Oryzias latipes: one gene and its partners. The protein of the gene in region 1 binds, or shares a complex with, the protein of each later gene. Links are inferred from orthologs where the notes say so. Each region holds a gene or a part of one and is shown in the gene's direction. Other genes may lie near its edges.

Evidence for each region.
Region 2: the proteins of tubgcp5 (region 1) and mzt1 are in contact, whole or in part, in a crystal structure (PDB 6L81), measured with the Homo sapiens proteins. The link is inferred for Oryzias latipes from reciprocal best matches to the Homo sapiens genes TUBGCP5 and MZT1. Residues at the interface, in NP_443135.3 of Homo sapiens: Gln14, Gln15, Asp18, Val19, Glu21, Leu22, Val23, Val26, Ala27, Gly28, Asn36, Ala40, Phe43, Ala44, Asn47, Phe48, Arg52, Phe53, Leu54, Phe72, Lys80, Ser83, Trp84, Leu87, Thr88, Glu90, Phe91, Ala106, Ser109, Ile110; in NP_001065243.1 of Homo sapiens: Glu23, Val27, Leu28, Glu30, Ile31, Ser32, Ile34, Leu35, Asn36, Thr37, Leu39, Leu44, Ile46, Cys47, Val48, Arg49, Leu50, Cys51, Glu52, Gln53, Ile55, Asn56, Pro57, Glu58, Ala59, Leu60, Ser61, Ser62, Val63, Ile64.
Region 3: tubgcp5 (region 1) and tubgcp3 share a complex: the UniProt entries of both Homo sapiens proteins name them as parts of the gamma-tubulin ring complex. The link is inferred for Oryzias latipes from reciprocal best matches to the Homo sapiens genes TUBGCP5 and TUBGCP3.
Region 4: tubgcp5 (region 1) and tubgcp2 share a complex: the UniProt entries of both Homo sapiens proteins name them as parts of the gamma-tubulin ring complex. The link is inferred for Oryzias latipes from reciprocal best matches to the Homo sapiens genes TUBGCP5 and TUBGCP2.
Region 5: tubgcp5 (region 1) and nme7 share a complex: the UniProt entries of both Homo sapiens proteins name them as parts of the gamma-tubulin ring complex. The link is inferred for Oryzias latipes from reciprocal best matches to the Homo sapiens genes TUBGCP5 and NME7.

The regions. Positions count from the first base shown.
Region 1 is NC_019862.2:28,172,180-28,176,195, reverse strand, and holds the start of tubgcp5 (gamma-tubulin complex component 5), read left to right. Parts: upstream 1-1,214; 5' UTR 1,215-1,520; coding exon 1,521-1,654; intron 1,655-1,757; coding exon 1,758-1,811; intron 1,812-3,241; coding exon 3,242-3,350; intron 3,351-3,929; coding exon 3,930-4,016. Other genes in the region: chst7 (carbohydrate sulfotransferase 7), read right to left, coding at 1-432. UniProt on the Homo sapiens protein: Component of the gamma-tubulin ring complex (gTuRC) which mediates microtubule nucleation.
Region 2 is NC_019873.2:18,606,394-18,610,452, reverse strand, and holds mzt1 (mitotic-spindle organizing protein 1), read left to right. Parts: upstream 1-1,258; 5' UTR 1,259-1,559; coding exon 1,560-1,611; intron 1,612-1,716; coding exon 1,717-1,862; intron 1,863-3,346; coding exon 3,347-3,370; 3' UTR 3,371-3,830; downstream 3,831-4,059. Other genes in the region: bora (protein aurora borealis), read right to left, coding at 506-612, 773-922. UniProt on the Homo sapiens protein: Required for the recruitment and the assembly of the gamma-tubulin ring complex (gTuRC) at the centrosome.
Region 3 is NC_019860.2:22,844,001-22,848,097, reverse strand, and holds the start of tubgcp3 (gamma-tubulin complex component 3), read left to right. Parts: upstream 1-1,296; 5' UTR 1,297-1,424; coding exon 1,425-1,500; intron 1,501-2,536; coding exon 2,537-2,644; intron 2,645-3,607; coding exon 3,608-3,675; intron 3,676-4,004; coding exon 4,005-4,082; intron 4,083-4,097. UniProt on the Homo sapiens protein: Component of the gamma-tubulin ring complex (gTuRC) which mediates microtubule nucleation.
Region 4 is NC_019877.2:19,478,048-19,482,081, forward strand, and holds the start of tubgcp2 (gamma-tubulin complex component 2), read left to right. Parts: upstream 1-1,233; 5' UTR 1,234-1,337; intron 1,338-1,666; 5' UTR 1,667-1,693; coding exon 1,694-1,843; intron 1,844-2,743; coding exon 2,744-2,872; intron 2,873-4,034. UniProt on the Homo sapiens protein: Component of the gamma-tubulin ring complex (gTuRC) which mediates microtubule nucleation.
Region 5 is NC_019862.2:27,541,840-27,545,915, reverse strand, and holds the start of nme7 (nucleoside diphosphate kinase 7), read left to right. Parts: upstream 1-1,275; 5' UTR 1,276-1,375; coding exon 1,376-1,378; intron 1,379-2,022; coding exon 2,023-2,124; intron 2,125-2,311; coding exon 2,312-2,478; intron 2,479-4,076. Other genes in the region: uncharacterized protein LOC101164391, read right to left, coding at 63-220, 333-400, 804-908. UniProt on the Homo sapiens protein: Possesses an intrinsic kinase activity. Displays 3'-5' exonuclease activity with a preference for single-stranded DNA. Does not seem to have nucleoside diphosphate kinase activity.

The DNA.
Region 1 (4,016 bases):
GTCGCAGCGGTACAGAGAGCTCAGCATGTCCCGCACCGCGCCCTGGAGGCTGCCCGCGTCCCCGGGGTACAGCGCCTGCCATATGTGCCACATCGGCTCGTACAGGTAGAACACGTCGGGGTGCTGGTTGAACAACTCCCCCAAGAACGACGAGCCGGTCCTCCAGGTGGCGTGCAGGTAGATGTGGATCCGCGGCTGACTCCTGTTGAATCTGGCCTCCGCCGCCGCGTCGCTGCCGTTGACTTTGTAGCCATTGTTATCCCACAGAAGCGCCACCGTGTTCTCCAAATCTGAGCATCTGGGCTGTTGCTGCGGAAGCTTGGCGTGCTCGCCGGATTTATCCCGATAATCTAACACGTACGCGATTAGCAGAAGTAAACCCGAATATGCGACGATCACAATCAAGAATTTCTTATTTAACCTCCTCTTCATTTCCTTTTGCCCTAATCACGACTGGAATCCTGTCTTTGGGAAGGGACTCCGGCGAGGAAGACTCGCTCCTGTGAAGTTATGCGAGGCGAGACTGTTAGTGTGTGTCTGTTAGTAAATGTGTGGAAAACTAGCCACGCCCCCTCAACCAGAAGTTTTGCGAATCTTTTCATGTTTTTTACGTATACATTGTAAAACGGGTGTGTTCTTAATGACACAAGCTTTGAGTTTTTTTGTACGGAAAAATATCTTCAAATTTATTTATTTTTTTTGTCGAAGAATTTCTTTAGCTACGTAAACTGGAGGCGGGGCTTAGTGAGGTTGCCAGATTTGATTGCGTGTCTCAGAGCATTTGAACTGGTTTTCAGCACATCGAACAGAGAAAAAACAAGTTTTAGGCCAAATTTTCCGTCCGTGCAATATAAAAATGTTTTGTAACAAATGACAAAGTAAAAGCTCTTTTTTAGATAAATTATAATGTATTAATAGAAACTAAAAAATAACACGTTAAGTGCGTGCTATTAAAGTCACTGAAGAATTTGATCACACACACACGCACACACACACATGCGTGTCAAGGAAAACAAGGATATTGCATCATCAGTGAATTTAATTTTAAATGATAAAACTTAAATGTGTAGTTAAAAAATTATATTTTCTGTTTGTTTGTGTCAATGCCATACGGTAAAAAAGAAATGCTGTTTACTTGATTGTCTGAACCGGAAGTTTTTACTCGTAACCATGGTGACCAAGGTGAACAATTATTATTATTATTTATTTATTTTGTAAAGGAGAAAAAAAGAAGTTAACATTTTTAAATAATAGTTCGGGATCAAAACACAGAGATGAAAATATGTTAAAGAAAAAAATAATATTGATTAGTGGTAATCCTGCGCATGCGCACTACACGCGATTCATGTCCAGCGGCAACAATTACGCGGGACGTCTTAGCCTGTTAAACTACCCTGTTACAATATGAAACATTTAATGTAGTCATCGGTCACCGTTTCGTCTTAAGCGGTCCGTCCAGCTGCTAGCCTGCCGGACAGCCCGCTGCCTGCAGCGTAACGTCTGATGCTAACATCATCATCATGGCGCACTGGAGCATCTTCGAGAAAGAAACAGAGAAAGAAACGAAAAGGCTGATCGGGCTCATCAGCGGCATCGAGGATGAGGAGGACCAGAATTTCCAGCGTGCGCTGAAATTTACGTGGTCAAATTTTAAGTGAGTCCACCATTGATGGTTTAGGTGGAGCTAGCTCATTGCTAACTATAATATTAGCAAACAATATCAGAAGCTGATGACCAAAAACATCCTTTTTTTAAAGGTTCCATAGTTTTCTGGACGTTGACAGTCATAAAGTTGAACGCAGCATAAACGGGTGAGTGAATAATGTTGTCTTTTGTGTCTGGTTTTGTGTTTTAGAAAAAAATAGTAAGGTGTTTTGGTTTTGCCATCATCACAAACCCATGGAAAGCTCTCACCGTAACTGCATTCTTGCGTTATGGAGGTCAAATATTATGCAAAAGCTGCGTGTTTTTCGGTAAATATGTTTAAATGAGGGCCAGCGGGTTTAAAGCTGTTATGTTTGGGGTTTTTTTTTTTACACGCCAACAGTCAGCAACAGCACAATCCATGCAACACAATACTGTGATGTGCAGAAATGAGTGTTTGCTCCAGGATGACAGACTGTTTAACGCACCACAGATTTTCATGCAGGGTAATCGTATCTCATTGTTGCAAATTAGGAAAAACGATGGTCTCTTATGACGTAAATTCATTTTCAATTGAGGAATGTTCCTCTTGTGAACATGAAACAAAACTCACTGATCTGCAAACTTTATCGTTTCTCTGAATCTGTTTGTTGCCCTAAAAGTGCCTTAAATTTCCAAGTGACCTGAAAAGAAAACAGCAAAAACCAACGTCTCGTTTTAAATGCGGACCCTGATCCATCACACCAGTTACATAATCATTTTTTAAATATGTTATTCTTTGGTCCAGTTTCATATTTATCCAGGAAAATTCCCGTCTTTTCATTTACAGCACCTGAGATTTGAGATGTTAGCATGGGAAGTAACACCTCCTCACGCATATTCTCAGGCTTTGCAGCGCTGCTTTGTGGTCTTAGTCTGTCTTTGAAGCAACTCTGGGTTCATTGATATACTTGAGTTCTTCATGGGAGCCGCACAACTGTCACCTCGCAGGAACAAGTTCCTGGTTCCTGCGATTCCTCCTTCAGTCTAAACACATCATCGATTTGTTGATTGACGACTCTTAACTGTCCTCTAGGTGTGAGCGTGTCTGGGAATTTGCATGGATAGGCTCCAGCATCCCCATATCTTTGCATTAGGCTAAAAACTTAAAGATAATAATATTAACAACAACAATGTACAACATGTTTGGGAAAGAAAAGCTAAGCGTGTTGAAACCTCCAATAATAATAATAATAAAGCAATTATGATTATAGTGAACAATCATAAACATCATCTTCATCAACACATAATGGTATAACTCTAAATAGATGTATGTATTTTTACGATATGTGAAATACTTTTGCATTGTTTTTGTTCAAACCTTTGACTTTTCCACATTTCAGTTTCACACACAGACGCACAAAACGAGTAATTTAAATGTCATTATTCCTTTGGACATTTTCTACAGCTATAAATAATTTCTGGATGTCATTTGGCACCAATTCTATTCTTGAAATGATATTGGATATGTGGATGTTGCTGCATGTTCTGTTCATAAAAACAGCATCTCTTTCATGAGTAAACGTGCACATTTCACACGGAGAATCTGGTTTTTCAGAATCTATGAAAAGCTGATGGTTCACTCTGATGTGAGTAAAGCAGGAAGCTGGAGGAGACTGACAGCAGAGTTCCTGAACTCTCCTCTGCCAAATACAGAAGGAACAAAGGTAGGAAAGAGCCTACGGAAATAAAACGAGGCCAGAGGATAGAAAGGTCCGGGTCTGAGCTTGTTTACGTGTCCAAAAAAAATGCAGTAATCAATCAAAAAACAAATGCAACCATCAGAAGATGTTGGTCTACCTGGGAGTCAATTATCTGGTATATTTAGGTGAACTACGTATGTTCATAATAAACCTGCTACCTTTAAAATCCTCTGGCATCTGTTCCTGTCAGCGTCACAGAGCTGCAGCGTTTGCTTTGCTTTTATGGGAACTAACAAAAGAAACACTTGTATAAAGGAGCTGCGGTTGCCCTGGTTACGCAGCCTCTTCTGTCTTTAGCACTTGCGTAAACTCATGAACAGATGTGAAACAACATAACATATGGGGTAAAGTGGAAGAAATCGGATATTGATGGGATCTTTGATGTGCACGTAAACAAGCTCACTGGATTTATGTGGCAGCAGGTTTTGTCATCCTCTCTGCCTTTTGTTGCTAAAGTTGAAATATTTTTGACAAAAAAGGTTAGAAGAACTGACAACTTGAAGTCTTCAGGACTTTTATTTTGACGGTAGTTTCCCCTCTTAGACAGATGCACATTATGGCATTCTGTCTCTGCTGCTCCTCCTGTCTGGATGCCCCTCAAACACAGAGTTTACGGAGAGACCTCGACTG
Region 2 (4,059 bases), on another chromosome or scaffold:
AGGTATTTAGATCTGCACAATAAATCACAGAGCTATCGCCATCTTGTTATCAGCCTGTGCAGTATGCGTATCGCAGAAGACAGTGCAATAAATCATACCATAAATGTTTACACACATGCCTAAACAATCTTATGGCAGCTTGAAGTGTTTCAAATTCAAAATAGCCTGTTAAGCTTTTGACTAATTGGATGGAGCCCTTTTATGTTAGATGCTTCCCTCCTATCAGGTAAAAGATCATTTGGAGTATAAATCAAGTTATACTGACTTTTATTTTGATAAAACTGTTGCAGTGAAATGAAAAAGATGTATTAGTTGTTTCATGTTTTACTTTGGGTTCATGTATCGTAAGTCACATCGTCATCGCAATATTGATCACCAATATCGCGAGTTTTCCTGATATCGTGCAGCCTTAGTTTAATTACAGTTTGTAATTTGCCAAATATTTAAGACTGGAATGCAATCAAAGATTTGCCACTGTTAACAAAATAAGGGATTCAGGACACACCTTGTCTGGCTGAGGTAAAAAGACTGTCGCTGGATTTCTTCTGGGTCTATGTGCACTGGGAGAAGGCTGGCCATTTCATCAATAGACCAGTTAAATCTTGGAGGGGTCTACAGAAAAGACAAGATATGAGACAAAACTACACAGCAGCCTTAAGACACATTTCTCGAAGTAAAAATTGCAAAACACACTTGCAAAAACCGGTTTCAGCTTGACTGTGTAAATAATATTCAATTTTAGTATAAGTTGTGGGTAAGAAATTAAACTTACAGCTTTACAGGACTTGGATTTAAAAACAGATGGGCTTGGAACCAAGGGTTCCCGGAGATGGTGGTAATCATTTGGACTCTCAAAGGGGTTTCTTATGGAAGGCCTGCCCGGAGTCTCTGGAGTTATCTCTAGCTCGATACGGTCCCCCATCCTGGCTGAAAATTCAAATTCAAGTTATAAAGAAAATGTATTACAAAGTACACTTAAAAACATTTTAAGTGTAAACCAACATGTATTTTTTTTACTCGATCCGTTAGCTAGCTGTGATGTTAGCTTGCAAGGAAAACAACAGTTTTAAAATCAGTTCAAAAACAACATAACACCCATAATTTAATCCTTACCGACACTGACTATGTAATTGTTTTCCGCCCCTGGTACTTACATGTTTTATCTGACTTGGACTGTAAAGCGACTAAATCAAGAGAAAGTCTTCCCCTGTCGACTCCACAGTGGTATTAGGAAGAGAACAATTCAAACGTTTATTTCAATTTCGTCCACGGAGCCAGCCAACCAATAGAATCGTTACAGAAAGTTGTTGAGGACCAATAGCGACATCTGTGTCGTCATTTCCGCTGCTAGTTTGCGGACGGTGCATCAACTTTGATGCAAGCTAAATGCTAATGCGGCATTTTATCGTATGTCAGAATCCGAGTAAAGCAAATATGAGATATTTTAAACGCGGCCGTGTTGTTTAATTGAATTGTTTTCATCAACGTTTTATCAGGGTAACATATAAGCTGTTGTGTATCTGCTAGCAAGTTCTAGCTAGCTAACTAGCGTCATCGTAATGGCAAGTGCAGCTAATGCTAACCTGAACGCAGTCCGGGAGACTATGGACGGTAAATATTTTAACTTGTGTGCACATATTAGCATATTTAATAAGAATTTCAAGATTATCATTAAATCATTCTATTAATTTTAAACTTTTCGCTTTTCCTGAACAGTTCTGCTAGAGATTTCAAGACTGCTAAACACTGGTTTGGATATGGAGTCCTTGTCCATTTGTGTGAGGCTGTGTGAGCAAGGCATCAACCCTGAAGCTCTGTCTGCTGTCATCAAGGAGCTCCGAAAAGCTTCAGAGTCTCTGAAGGTAGAAGAGAAACTACCACATCTCATTACAGACCAAAACTTATGTCCGTGTTTTTTTCTTCTTTTAGTGTTATCGCGAGTTCTATAACCATTTGGAAACCATTTGTTAAGCTTGAGTGTCATTGTTTTTTTATTTTTACATTAAAGTCTGTAATGATAAACATCATATCAGTGTAAATAGTAGTGATGGGTTGATGATGCTTTAATGAGTTTGACACATCTCCCAAACTGTTGACTCTGACATAGTGTTGCTCCCTCTCTAGTGACCCCTGCAGTAATTCTGAAATCATTGCAGGTAAATAAAATAAGAACGGCATTTTTGGTGTTTTTAACATGTTCTTGTAGCACTTTTTTATGATTGATTACATATAATAGAAAATTAACATTAAAACAGCATTTTTGATTATTTCTTAATTAAGAAACCGGAGAAGTCAAATAATGCAGTTTGAAAAACTTGCAGTTGTGACATAGAAACAACAGCCATTAGGCCAAACTCCCTGCTCTGCTCTAGTCTGATGCCTCCACTGGCAGATGAATAAATTTATGTACATTTTTGTTTTCCTCGTCTGAGCTGGAATCTGGATCAAAGCTGTTCAGGTGGATGGCTCAAATATTGTTCACTATATTTGTTGCACCGCTAGTGTGAGCTTGGGGTTGTCAGGGACTCAGTTAGCGGGAGAGTGTAAACAAGGTGTCGCTCGTCCCATCATTAGAAAATAGAGCTGTGGTATTAAAGTATTTCAGTATTTTGACTTTTATTTAACACAAGTTGTTTGATTGATGCCCACATACTAGTGAATCCTTAAACTTGATTTTTTTTTCTCTTTAGAATATTTTCTACTATTTAAATTTATTAAATATTTTATCATCCTTGCCACATCAACCCAACGATACTCTAAGCTTTAAAGTGTAAACTCAAATATTTTAATTTATAATATCTTGCTTTTTTTATGTAAAAATGGCTAAACCTGCAACTAAATCTATGAATGAGAAAAGCCGAGGACTGAAAAACATTTGGCGCATACAGATGAATTAATTCTGTTACTAAACGTCCTGAAAACAGATCCTTATGGTTTGTAAATAGAAATATAGACATGAGTTTATTTTTTAAAGAAAATGTAATTAATTAAATTTTCTCTGAGCTTCAGAAAAGCTCAAATATACTTAACATAAGTCCAGCATTCAATTTGCACTTTTACAGAACTGGCTTTGTCTGGTTTTGCAAAGTGCTTTACAGCTTCTTTCCCATTCACATACACACTTGCTGCAAAACCCAATGATCCACATGCCGAAATGAAAGCTGTTAGACTTTTCATCTGGAGTACCTCGTGCGTAAACGTCAAGCCCAACAAGACACCGACATCTAGAGGGACTGGGATCAAACTGTTTTCTGTGTGATTAATAGACTGCCTTGTGTCCCACCTGAGCCACAGCCACACCATTTCAAACAATAAATCATGATGGTTTATTACTTTTTATTTTCAGGTTTCTGAGAATTGCACAACCTGAAGATGGAATCGGAGCCCATCTGTGCAGGACTTTAATAAGATCATCCCCTGTTCCTGGATCTTTACCAGCTTTCCCGCCTCAATCCCAATCATTTTGACAGTGACTCAAATGTTTTCTACTTTTTTCATTTGTTTGTTGTTGTTTAAAAGAAAATGACTTACATTTGTTGTTTTTCAAACACACAAGACACAGATCTGAGCAGCACTGTCAAGTTTAAGCCTTCTTTTGTTTTGTTTTTTCTCTAAGCAGCATGGATGTTGGGTTTGACTGTCAGAATGTTTTATATCAGAAACATGTTGGACATTATATGTTAAAATCTTTATTGATTTTTTTTTTCAATGTATATTATTGCACTATCATTTTTTTTCTTGGTCATTTATTGGCACAAATCTATTTCTGAAGGTCCTGTAAGTTTTCAATGGAATTGTGGGAAATAAAATGTTACCATCAGTGACCACAAGGGGGAGTTCTAGTCTTTGTTCTCAGTATTTATTTAATTGTTGGGATTTTAAAACAAATACCACTTTATATTATTTCTGATTAAAAAAAACTGTAATATACATTTAAAAAAATAATATTTGGCTTTAGTTTCTTTTTTGTACGTGTCATGGTCTAATTTTGGGTCAGCAGTATAACATAATAACCTTATTTGGTTGGATTTTACAACGGAAACAATCTTTCCTGTCAGA
Region 3 (4,097 bases), on another chromosome or scaffold:
AGATTTTTTTTTTATTATAGAAAAAATAATAATGAATTTAAATTAAGTTTTTCACAATAAATCTACATTAAATACATGGCAAGCAAAAAGGAACATTTATAATATAATATAAAATAATATAATACTGGACACTCCACAATAAATTCAGATTATTTGGATAGAAACAAATTATTTTATTTATTTAATAAATGTGCAAACTGTATTTTTTTTCCCTTAAGTGTTGAAACTGTCCAAACATTTAAACAGCAAATGTAATTTCGGCTAAAATAAACCAGCTTTTCCATGAAGGACATTTTGGTGCACCGCCATCCTTAAATCTGATTTGTCGGAAGGAACTCTGTTGCTGCTAATGTGACTTCAAATGAATATTGGGGTGATGGTGGAAATTTTCTACATTAATTGTATGTAATAGATAGTTTCTTACAACAAATAATCAAATAATAAATAAAGAAAATATTTGCTAATTAATTCGTGTTTTCTGTTTTTTTTTTTAACTTTATTTGCATTTTTTATGATGTTTTTAATGTAAAAATAAGACAGTTGTGAGAAATTTTCAAATCCCTAATAACGGAAACGATGAACCGGTAGGAACAAACAAAAAAGGCCCTTGTTTCAATAGGGAAGTATTTTTTTCCATGGCGTGTCCGACACCGGGGACGCATTTCGGCGGGTAAATTGAACTGTCTCAATAAAGTTCTTTGTAATCAAAGCGGATGTTTCCTGTTAACTACTACACAATAAAACGCATCAAGACCTTTTCGAGACAAATTTTGTCATAAGATTGTTTTGGCACATTTAAAGTAACCATTTATTGGAATTTTCGCAGTCTTTTGCGATATGCATATAGCACAGCTTGATCTCGATAAACTTGCGATATATTGTGCAGGCCTATTGTCTACATTTTTTTGAGGTCTTCCACCACGTACTAGCCGTAAAATCTATTTTCTTTCTCTTTTTTTTGCACACATTGAAGGATAGCCTTACTGCAACCAAGAAAACATTTCATTTAAAAAATTGTGCAAAATAGTTATTTTCTACACAATAAAATACAATCATTTGTAGTTTTAATTATTTTTAACTATAATTTTAAATGCATGATTAAATGCAAATGCACCAAACACTCTACTGTTCATACTTTACCTATTATAAATATGCCTTTTAGAATTCAAGTATATAGTATATTAGTGAGGTTAATAACTGTCTTATTTGGAATCTTTTCTTTTATTTACTATTTTCTGTGCAATTCTGATAACTATGCTGAAGGCTCTTATTTTGAAGGGGGCAGGAAAAGGGTCACTTCAGATTCCGTCCTCCCCGCTACTTTGACTCGTAGTCGCTAAATGGCGTTGCTCATTGTGGGAGGCTGCGGTTAATAACTATTCCTTCCCTGCATTTGCGAATTGATCCCGTCTGTGGTGAAAACGATGGCGACGTTGGACCAGAAATCCCCCAACGTCCTCCTGCAGAGCCTGTGCTGCAGAATCACGGGGAAAAGCGAAGGTACGGGAGCCAGAGCTAGCATAGCCGCGACACCGCTACTTTGGCGAAGCTGCTTTGAAAACGACACTCTTTCAGGTTGAGGGTCAGATTGGCGGTTTAACTTGCTTCTTATTCATTTTAATGACTTTAAAATAACAGTTAGTGGGAACGGATTTATTCGGCACATGAAGTTGAAGCTTGACATTTATAAGTGACTAAATACAATCGTAAAGTCTCCCGCCGGCTAAACCCAGAGCGTTGCCGACGGAATTTGATCATCGTAAACCGGGTTTTCTGGCAATACATGTCAACAATTATTTGGTGATCCGCGTGGAATTTTTTGCTGAACTTTACTGCCAGCATTTGAAGGGGATCAAGCGAATCGTCTTAAAGGAATCCGTGGTTCGCAGGGAGCTCGGCCCGGGTTAGCCTGAATGTCAGGCTGCGGTCTTGATGCTGCAGCATCCCGCCTGACAGCTGCTGCGTTAAACCGCTATGCCGGGCTCGGGACCGCCGTTAGCTGGGCAGCGTTTCGGCAGCCCGTGCGGAACCACTGACTCCCGGCTGCAGGCCCCAGAAACGAGGCAAAAAAAATGTTAGGGCGAGGTTGTGAGGGGCTGCAAGCCAACGGGAGAGCGTGTAAACAGATGGATGATGGGAAGGGCGGCGGGGCTTACTTACTACTACGTGTCAACAGCCACAACACGGAGGCGAGTTTCAAATGAGCCTCTGCTGCTCTGCAACAACTGTGTCCTGGAAAACAACATGTTTTTAAACAGTTTTAAGGTCATAATCCTAACAAAATAAATAAAGAAAAAAACCAGGAAGGCTTTGAAAATAGATCAAAATATGACCAGAGTGAGACTTTAACAACTGAATTAAAAGCAGCATTGTCCAGTAATTCACAGTTACCGTTTTTAGTGACATAATTTGGTGAAAAAAATCAGAATTTCTTCCTTTTGTGTCCTAAAATGAAAACCATTGTTTTTGTTTGTTTGTTTGTTTTTTAAAGCATAAACTCTTTTGCTGATTTAATAAATATCTGTTTTTTGTGCAGCTGAAGTCGCCCACCAGTTTCAGTATGCCGTCCGAGTCATCGGCAACAACTACGCTCCCACTTTTGAGCGAGACGAGTTCCTGGTGTCGGAGAAGATCAAGAAGGAACGTGAGTGACCTTTGACCTCAGGAGGCTTTTTTTTTTTTTCTTCCTCTGCTGCATCTTTTCTGAATTTGGTCCCTTTAGCATCTGGCCTGTGCGGATAAACGTCAGACTCAGCAACGTTGAAAACCTTTATTGCCTCTCGGCAGCAAATATCTATTGACTTGCTTTGCAGTAGCGCTAGCGGGAAAACATTGATCTGAGCCTCGTCGCTCATCATCAAACTGAAATAGCACTTTCCAGGTTGCGGGGGCTGGACGTCTCCTGTGACTAATGGGATTTAAATAAGACTTCCAACCGAGGTTAACGTGCACCCCCCCTCTCTGTTACTGCAGACGACAGAATCCATCCAGGTATACTTTATTGATCCCAAACGGAATTATGATGGAGTTTGTTCCAGGAAGTCCAACAGAAAAGCCTCTTTAGTTGTGTTTGTCTGCAGCTCCAGGTGCCGGTCGGGATGCATTCAAACCTGGTTTTAGTTCGGGAAAAAATTAATTTCGTCCTTCGTCTTGCTTTCAACATTGTATATGTTTACACTTAGTAATATGCTTCTGTAAGAAAAAAATCTTATTGTAAAGTTTAATACTTGTCTTTAGTGTTTTTTCTAACGAACATATTTATTAAGAACATTTATTTAATTGAATTTTTATTTTATTTACAAAGTTGTATGTTTTTCTCATTTAAAAGTACCAATTTTTGTTGAATTAACACATTTATTTCATTTTATCAGTGCATGCTTTATAATATAGTTAACTTTTGACTGTAAGAGTTTGTCGGATTTGTTTTTATTTTACAAAAAAAACCAGAATTTAATTAAAAAGCTACGTTTCAGTTTTAATTTGTACTTCTATAAACTGAAACAAGCGTAAGGGTTTTTGATAGATGTGGACATGAAACCATCAGACGTTTGAGGCTGTGAAAGGAGCGTTGGATGGCGTCTAACTGTTGGTGTCGATGCTCCTGCAGTGGTGAAGCAGAGGAGGGAGGCGGACGCTGCTCTCTTCTCAGAGCTGCACCGAAAACTCCAGACTCAGGTGAGCGTTTTTCTACCCGCCAACAAGAATAAACCTCCAAAAACGACCCTGCTGGCTTCTGACGACACTATTTCAGCTGAGTTTGTAATACTAGATGAATAAATGAGGAAAAAACAAAATACGTGAAGACGAAAGGTTAAAAGTCCACATTTATTTGATTGTTGTCCATTTTTCTGTTTGTTTCTTGCCGTACTTTAATTTTAAAGCTATTGATGTTAGTAATTAATAAGCTATGATTTTTTTTTTTATTAAATTTGGTCAAAATTGAATCTTCTTTCATTTGATTGAAGGATGCTGGGCTTTTATTTTGACGGTTTTCCACCTTTCAGGGTGTTCTGAAGCACCGCTGGGCGGTTCTTTACCTGCTGCTGATTCTCTCTGAAGACCCCCGCAAACCATCCTCCAGGGTGAGCGCGCCCCCC
Region 4 (4,034 bases), on another chromosome or scaffold:
AAAAGTTTTGTCACACACCATAAAGTAACTACCTCCCGGTTATTTACTCATCTTCATTTTACAATTGTATTTCTGCAAATACTACAGATGAAAAATAGCCTTTGGGCTAATTCTGGCGCATTGGAGCCATGCTTTTAATGTGCACTGTCCCTGTTAAATAAACTAATAAATAAATGAAATAAATATATTTTTGTCGTTCTAGACTCATTTAAACAAATAAAGATGTTTCTTTTTCTCAATGAAATTAAGAAAAATAATTTTCAATGGTTTTTTAACCCCCTCAGCCAAAAAAATAAAATAAAAAACGACCCTCTCACCCTCCGTGGGTGGTTTCTCTGCTAGCACTGCCCTTTCTGGACTGACAGGTCTGAGATGTTTCCAGGTATCTGTAGCCACTCCTCCAGCTTGGGGGTTACTGCCCCGAGTGCTCCAATTACCACAGGCACCACTGTCACCTTCACTTTCCATGCTTTCTCTAGTTCTTCTCTGAGTCCCTGGTATTTCTCCAGTTTCTCATGTTCCTTCTTCCTGATGTTCCCATCGCTTGGTACTGCCACATCCACCACAACAGGTTTCCTCTGTTCTTTATCCACCACTATCAGTCTGGATCTGGAAGTCCCACAGGATCTTTGCCCTCTCATTCTCTACCACCTTCGGAGGTGTTTCCCATTTTGACCTTGGGGTTACCAGTTCATATTCTGCACACATGTTCCTGTATATTATTCCAGCCACTTGATTGTGGCGCTCCATGTATGCTTTACCTGCCAGCATCTTACACCCTGCAGTTATGTGCTGGATTGTTTCAGGTATAGGCTGTTTGCACAGGCTACACCTTGGGTCTTGTCTGGTGTGGTAGATCTGAGCCTCAGATCTACCATATATATATAGATTGATAGATATAGATATATATCTATATATAGATACAGATATATATCTATATATAGATAGATTTAGACATAGATATACACACACACATCTATCTATCTATCTATCTATCTATCTATCTATCTATCTATCTATCTATCTATCTATCTATCTATCTATCTATCTATCTATCTATCTATCTATCTATCTATCTATCTATCTATCTATCTATCTATCTATCTATCTATCTATCTATCTATCTATCTATCTATCTATCTATCTATCTATCTATCTATCTATCTATCTATCTATCTATCTATCTATACGTTTGAATACCTAGCCTGTAGGGGGCAGACTCACGTCATGTCCTTGTAAAGTGTCAACAAACGAAGAAGAGGAATTTGAGCAGCATTGGGCGCCTTTGGTACATGATTCACTGAACGTTGGTGAGCTCATTTTCACGACTCCTGCAGGTACAGAAATAGTTGAAATGTTGTATTTTACCCGTGATAAGGTTTATTCAGAAATGACCGAAATTCAAATATTGGCAAATTTTGCACTTGCGTTTGGATTAGCTAGCATACTATTTAGCATTTGCAGTTTGCAGGCTAGTTAGCCTGTTTACTAGTAACATTTGGCTCAGCATCAGAGTACAGAGAGACTTTAAGTATTATATATATAAAGTAATTGTATCTCCGTAGCCAATCTATAGGCGATTGTTTGTCGGTGTGAACGAGCTGATGCCTGCTGAGATGCTGTGTTCGCTGAAGCTAAGATGCTCTCCTCTGTTTTTGTAACCCAGCCTTCCTGACAACTGACTGACTGAGCCATGAGTGAGTTCCGGATCCACCACGACGTGAACGAGCTGCTCAGCCTGCTGCACCTGCGTGGAGGTGATGGGGCAGAAGGTTACATAGATCTTCTACAGAAGCACAGGACACCGTACGTCACCACCACAGTGTCTGCTCACAGTGCCAAGGTGGGTCATTTATGCTGTATTTATTTACAGGCTAGTCTATAGTCATGCAAATCTTATCATGGTTTTCGTTTTATGACATTAAAAAAGCCCTAATGAATGCTGTTTTGTGATTTGTTTTTCATCTTTTGAGGCGACCTTGGATGGCCAGAAAGGGGGGGGGGGGCATATAGATCATATTATTTATGATTATTATAATTAAAAGGGAAAAAATGACAACCTCAAAATATGTTTATATAGACAAACCTGCACTTGCTGGGAAACAAACAAAAAAATGTTATTGACAGAATGATTATTTACTCTAAAACTGTTCAAGAAGTATTTTTTAAACCAAATGCCAGACAGCCCAGTATTTCAGATATTTGGATTAGGGATGCCCAAACTGTCAGTCTAAAAACAAACCATATGTTCCATCACTGAACCAAATTGTTGGGGGGAAAGAATTGTGCAGCCTTACTACATACCAGTACAGTCAAAGTGTTAAATTTGTGACAAATTTATATTATATTAATTTTTATTACATAACACCAGACTAGTGTAACCCAATTGAAAGATTTTCCTTCGTTGTTACTTGCTTAATAACAAATTTAAAAAAGGATTTTTCTGAATCATAAATGGATTTTAGTATTGTTGTTTTGTAATGTATAAATCATATGGCGAACCCAAAAAACTTTGAACCGAGTAATGGAGAAAGTGAATCAAGACATCCTTATTAAAAGTTTAAGATTTATTAGTTAAAACACATTTTTTCCATTTGAAGGATGTTAAAAGATAAAATTAAAAAGGTGGCTACAAAGGAAGAGTAGCCAACTGCTAAAGACAGAAAGGTGTAGACAGTAGGAGTCGTAGTGGTTTTACTGTTTATAATTTGCAATGTCTGATATTACTTCTTTTGTCTCTTAGGTCAAATTAGCGGAGTTTTCTAAAACACCAGAGGATTTCTTGAAGAAATACGAGGAGCTCAAGTCTAAAAATGTTCGAAATCTCGACCCTTTGGTGTATCTGCTTTCCAAACTCTGTGAGGATAAAGAGGTAACGCACCGTATTTGTTGTGCTGAAGTTTAGGTGTCTGCATTCATACAAAATGACATTTCTTTAGGAGGTGAAAGTGGTCATTTTAAAGCAAATCCTCCCAGTAACATGACCTCTTTTTTTCTGTCTGAATATGTGGTTTTCCTTAAGGACCCACTCTATTTAAAAATGTGGTTTTGGTGTTTTTAACATGTTCTTCTGGAAATGTTCTGTTGATGGAGGAAATATATAAAGAAAATTAATTTTATCATTGCATTTCTGAGTATTTTTTATTTAAATCTATGGAAATCATGAGGGCTGTCCGGTCTCTATATGACCGGAGAAAGAGCTTGGTTCACAAAACCGGCAGTAAGTCAGACTTGTTTCCGGTGCATGTTGGACTCTGTCAAAAAGTGTCTTTTAGGACAACACAAGGGAATGCATTCAAAAATAAAGATGCTCCAGGTGAATCAGTCACTGGGTCTTTTCATAGTTTTTTATTGAAATTTAATTGATACTTTATTTATCCTATAATGGGGAAATTCTTCTCCGCATTTTGACCCATCCTCTGGGGGGAGCGGTGAGCTGCAGGCTCGACAGCTGGCTGGGGAGAGCGAGGATCGATTCCCCCAATCCTTCGGTTGTTGGACGACCTGCTCTACCGCCTGAACTAAACTGCCGCCCAGAAATGAATGGAGAGAATTTCCAGGGGCAGCCAGGGGCGAGAGGGGGTCTGGTTTACCTCTCTGCTCTTTGCAGATGATGTCCTGTTGGCTTTATCAAGTTGGGCTGCATTGGGGCGGAACGAGGGGAGTCTGGGCATCTTTGCTTAGACTGTTGCCCCCGCGACCTGGTCCCAGATAAGCGGAGGAAGATGGATGGATGGATGGAAATCATGAGCTGACAGTTTAAGAGCTTTTTTGTGACGTATGTTGGAAGAGGATCAAGCTCCCTGCTCCACAACCTGGAAGGGAAGAGGGGTGGGGTTGCTCTGTGCCAATGGTCCCGCCTACAACTCAGAGGAGATTTTCTAATGAACTACTAAAGCTCTGCAGAAACTATGTACTAGAAAATGATGCAGGTTTCTGGTTTGGGCTAAAAACTGTCTATTCATAATGAAAAGGCCACAGAGAAAACTTTGATAATAGATCAAAAGATGATCAAAGTGGGACTTTAATAAGAA
Region 5 (4,076 bases), about 630 kb from region 1:
AAAGATGAGGATCAAAATCCACAGGGACGAATACATCGATCAAAAAGTGTTTTGTTTCTTACCAGAGCCAAAATTTTTCACCACTTCTCTGGCAAGATGGACTCCAGACATCAGCAGCTCCTTGGCCCGTTCAGCGCTCATGCCCAGGTGGGTTACAAAACCCTGGACGCTCGCCTGGTACGTGGCCGTGGTGATGACATCAGCCCCACTCAGGAGGAACCTGTTGCCAAAGAGAAACTCTCGTTTTAGTCATCAGCACCAGTACATAGAGAAAAATGACACAAAATTTGACTAAACTGACGTGACTATTGAAAACCTGCGCATCAACTGACCTGTGATGAGCATCTTTTATGGCCTTGGGATTCGTGTGCAAAAGTCTGGCACTCCACAGAGGATCTCCCTTTGTACACACACACACATAAATAACATAAAATTACCTTTAAATCTGCACGTAAGGAACTAACAGGTAAATACTGGTATTGACTACCATATTTGTCATGGTTAGAAAATCCCTTTCACTGTGAAACCGTTTTTTTTCCCCTCCATTCACACCATCTTCCAGTTCATCTTTCCGGGCGTTACTTAAGTACTACTTGAGTAGTAACGCATAACAAATGATGCTCCTGAGTGAAGCAGAAACCAACTTCACAGGACACAATGGCTCTATCTAGTGGTTTACTGAGTTTGTTACAAGTTGTATGCGCACGAGACCGGACCACAGTCTTTATGTGCGCTTTAATGCATTTATTGCCCAAAAACGTTCAAAGCAACCATTGGATAATATCATAACATATTTACTTTACCTGTAGTTGTGCCCCGTGTGCTTCCAGTTCAGTTGCTAAACCTCCATCCAGGATCAAAGGCCTGTTTCGGTTAATGAAGAGTCTCAACCGAGCAGATGAACCCATGGAGCAACTCTGGATTTGCGATTAATTGCAACTTAATCCAAAAGTGGGACCCTAATCTAACGACGTTGGACTAATTTGGCTAACATGTACCACATCCGTCAATGTTGTTGTTCCGGGTGCAAAAGTCAACAGTTGCGTTTAAAGACATCCGTACATTTGACCTTCTAAGGTTGTCAAAACACAAGTCAATGTTGTCAAACTGATACTTCTTTTTTCAATAAAAAATGTGTGAACAATAAAAGGTCTTCAAAAAAATATATTAAAACTACTTAACAATATTTCTTTTGAGATGTGAGCGCGCAACAGTGTTTTTTGTTTTGTTTTTTTGTTCAGAATTGTCAGAGGTGCTCAACGACGGTTTTTCATGAACGCACCTTGGCTGGTTGCTATAGATACGAATCGGAGCCCGGGATAACTGCCGTCCATTAAACAGAGCTACGACATTTAGCTTTTGTTTACTTGTTAAAATGGTAAGCGTTTATCGCCCCTCTTTATTTAAAAACGTTCCAAAACGCTTTAATGATATAAAACGTATAATTAATTTTGAACAAATTGAAGATGTTGTTGTTTGCTAAACTCCGCTTAGCAACTTTTAGCAGATCTAGGAAAGCAAGGTGCTAACTCTTCTGTGGAACTAAGTGTGTCTTGTAATTATTTCTCCTGAAATATAAATAAGTTTAATAGCACGGAACATGTTTTAATTGAATATAGATTTTAGCAAAGCGTGTCAGGTCAATCCAGGGTTTAGCAGTCGACGAATAAACACTAGTATGTGCTTTTGATTTCAAATTAAAAAGCTGTTTTTATGGAAATGTTTTCTGATTGGTCAGTTTGCATCGACATATGTTGGCTGATACAAATAATAGTAGAAATACCCCCCCTTTTTATGGTCACTTTCTGTCTTGGTGATGCTAATAATGCAGAATCCCACCAATACTGGTATGTTTAACATTCAAATCTGGCACTGGGGTCCCTGCTGTGCAATGCTAAAGGCTTAATTGTATCTCACATGGTTGAACATACATCAGAAGTTTAGTCAAACGTTTTACTGGATTCACGCCACTGCATTTTATTTCTTGCTGTTTAGAATTTGACTGACTTCTTGTCTCTTCAGGAGGATCGCTATGCTTTTCTAGCTGAATGGTTTGACCCCATCGCAGCTCTGATGAGACGCTTCCAGCTGTTCTATTACCCCAACGATGGCTCCATGGAAATGGTAAAAAAAACAATAATTATTATAATTCCACTTATTTCTGATTACTGATTTCTTTTCTGTAGCTTTTGAACACATTGAATAGTTTAAAGGTTGTGATTGCAGTCTTTGCCTCCTTCTCAAATGTATAAATCATTGAACAATCTACAAGTCTGAGTGTGTGTGTGTGTTTTTTTTTATCACTCTACAGTTCGATGTGAAAAACCAGCGGGTATTTTTAAAAAGGATCAAGTATGATGACATCCATCCACGGGATTTGTTTGTTGGGAACCGAGTGAATGTTTTCTCCCGGCAGCTAAATCTGATAGATTATGGAGATCAGTACACAAGAAACAAGCTGGGCAGCAAAAAAGAAAGGTACGATTGGTTAAGCTGCACGTAAGTCTCTTTTATCCCCTCTAGTTACTGCACATACCATTCAGATTTATGTGCAAGCTCTTGAAAAGAATGACTGGAAGAGAAGCTTTTTTCCAGACGCCTCAAAAATGTAAAGCGGTCAGTGGAAATCAGAAAACATTACTGTTTACGTAAATAGTTTTACAAACTTCATGTTTTAATAAAACACATCAAAGTTGAAGGCACCATAAAGCATCATAAATGAAAAAAAAGATAAAGATTGATTAATGTACTTTGAGTTTTTTTTTTTTTAACAAAAAATAAAATAGTGACATAAACATGATAAACAGAAAGTAATAAAGTGCTTGAAAAACGAGTTGGTAGAAGTAAAATCTTTTGAATTCCCACCCCCAATCTTACTTTATTTTATGCAGACATTTTTGCTGATAAAAGATGTAATCATTATTCACATAAGATTTTAAAAAAAATAGAAAAAGTGACCAAAATTGACTGCATCATATCAAGTCATTAGGTTTTTAAGATTTCATGCGGCTCACCCTCTTTTATGTGGAAGGTGTGTTCGAGTCACGTTCAATGAAAATTGTGTTTTTGGTGTTTGCAACTTTTTCTTTTGATATTTTTCTGATCATGGAGTCCATATAGAAAGAAAATTAGGCTGAAAATTGCTCTTCTGAGTATTTCTTTAATCAAATCGTTGTGAATCAGGAACAGAAGAAAAAATGCGGCTGGAAAAAGATCAGATTTGTGGCGTAGAAAATACTCCGGGCGGCCTTTGTGAATAGGATTGTTAAGAAAAAAGTTATATTAATATGAATGAAAATTTATTAAAATATTATTTTCATTAAAAGGCCTATATCATGCAAAATCAACTTTTTAGAGCTTTTACGTGTATTATAATGTGAATTCCTCACAAAAACAAACCCAAAGTGGTATTCTGATTAATTCACGGTTCTCTGGGTATTCCTCTAAAAACCTGCACTATGAGCACCAGCCCCTCCCAATCCACTTTGTGACGTCACAAAGTGAGGAAGAGTCTGCGCTGCCAGCACTGACCCCAGGCAAACACACACTCGCTTTCTCCGTGGAGCTAGCGGTGATCGGCTTAACGCTTTCCTTTTAATTTGCCCAAAATGCACATCCATCTTTGCAAAAGTTCGGATGTCGTTTTTTTCTTTGTGTGCGTGAAACACAGACACGCCGCCGAGGCCGACTCTAGAATGACATCATGAAATGGACGGCACCTTCAAGGAGGGAAAGGCGGAGCCTCAGAGATCAAGTCGTCTTACTTCCGGGCAGAAAAAAATTGCTGTGATAATAACAAATATTTCCTAAAAAGGATTCAAGGATTCAAGAAGTTTTTATTGCCATATTCTGTGTAGCTACACAGAGTAGGAATTTGTTTCGGTGCAAATGTGCAACATAAAACAGAAGAACAGTAAGCAACAACATTTTTACAAATGGACAGAACAAAAATATAAATAGAGTCAGTAGTGCAAGGGGTGTCAAAACAGTGCAAACTGAGAATGTTCAAGGTGCAGGTAGTGGGCTGGTGACTGATTGGACATTGAAGTGAAATTTAGGGGGGGGGGGGGGGGGTT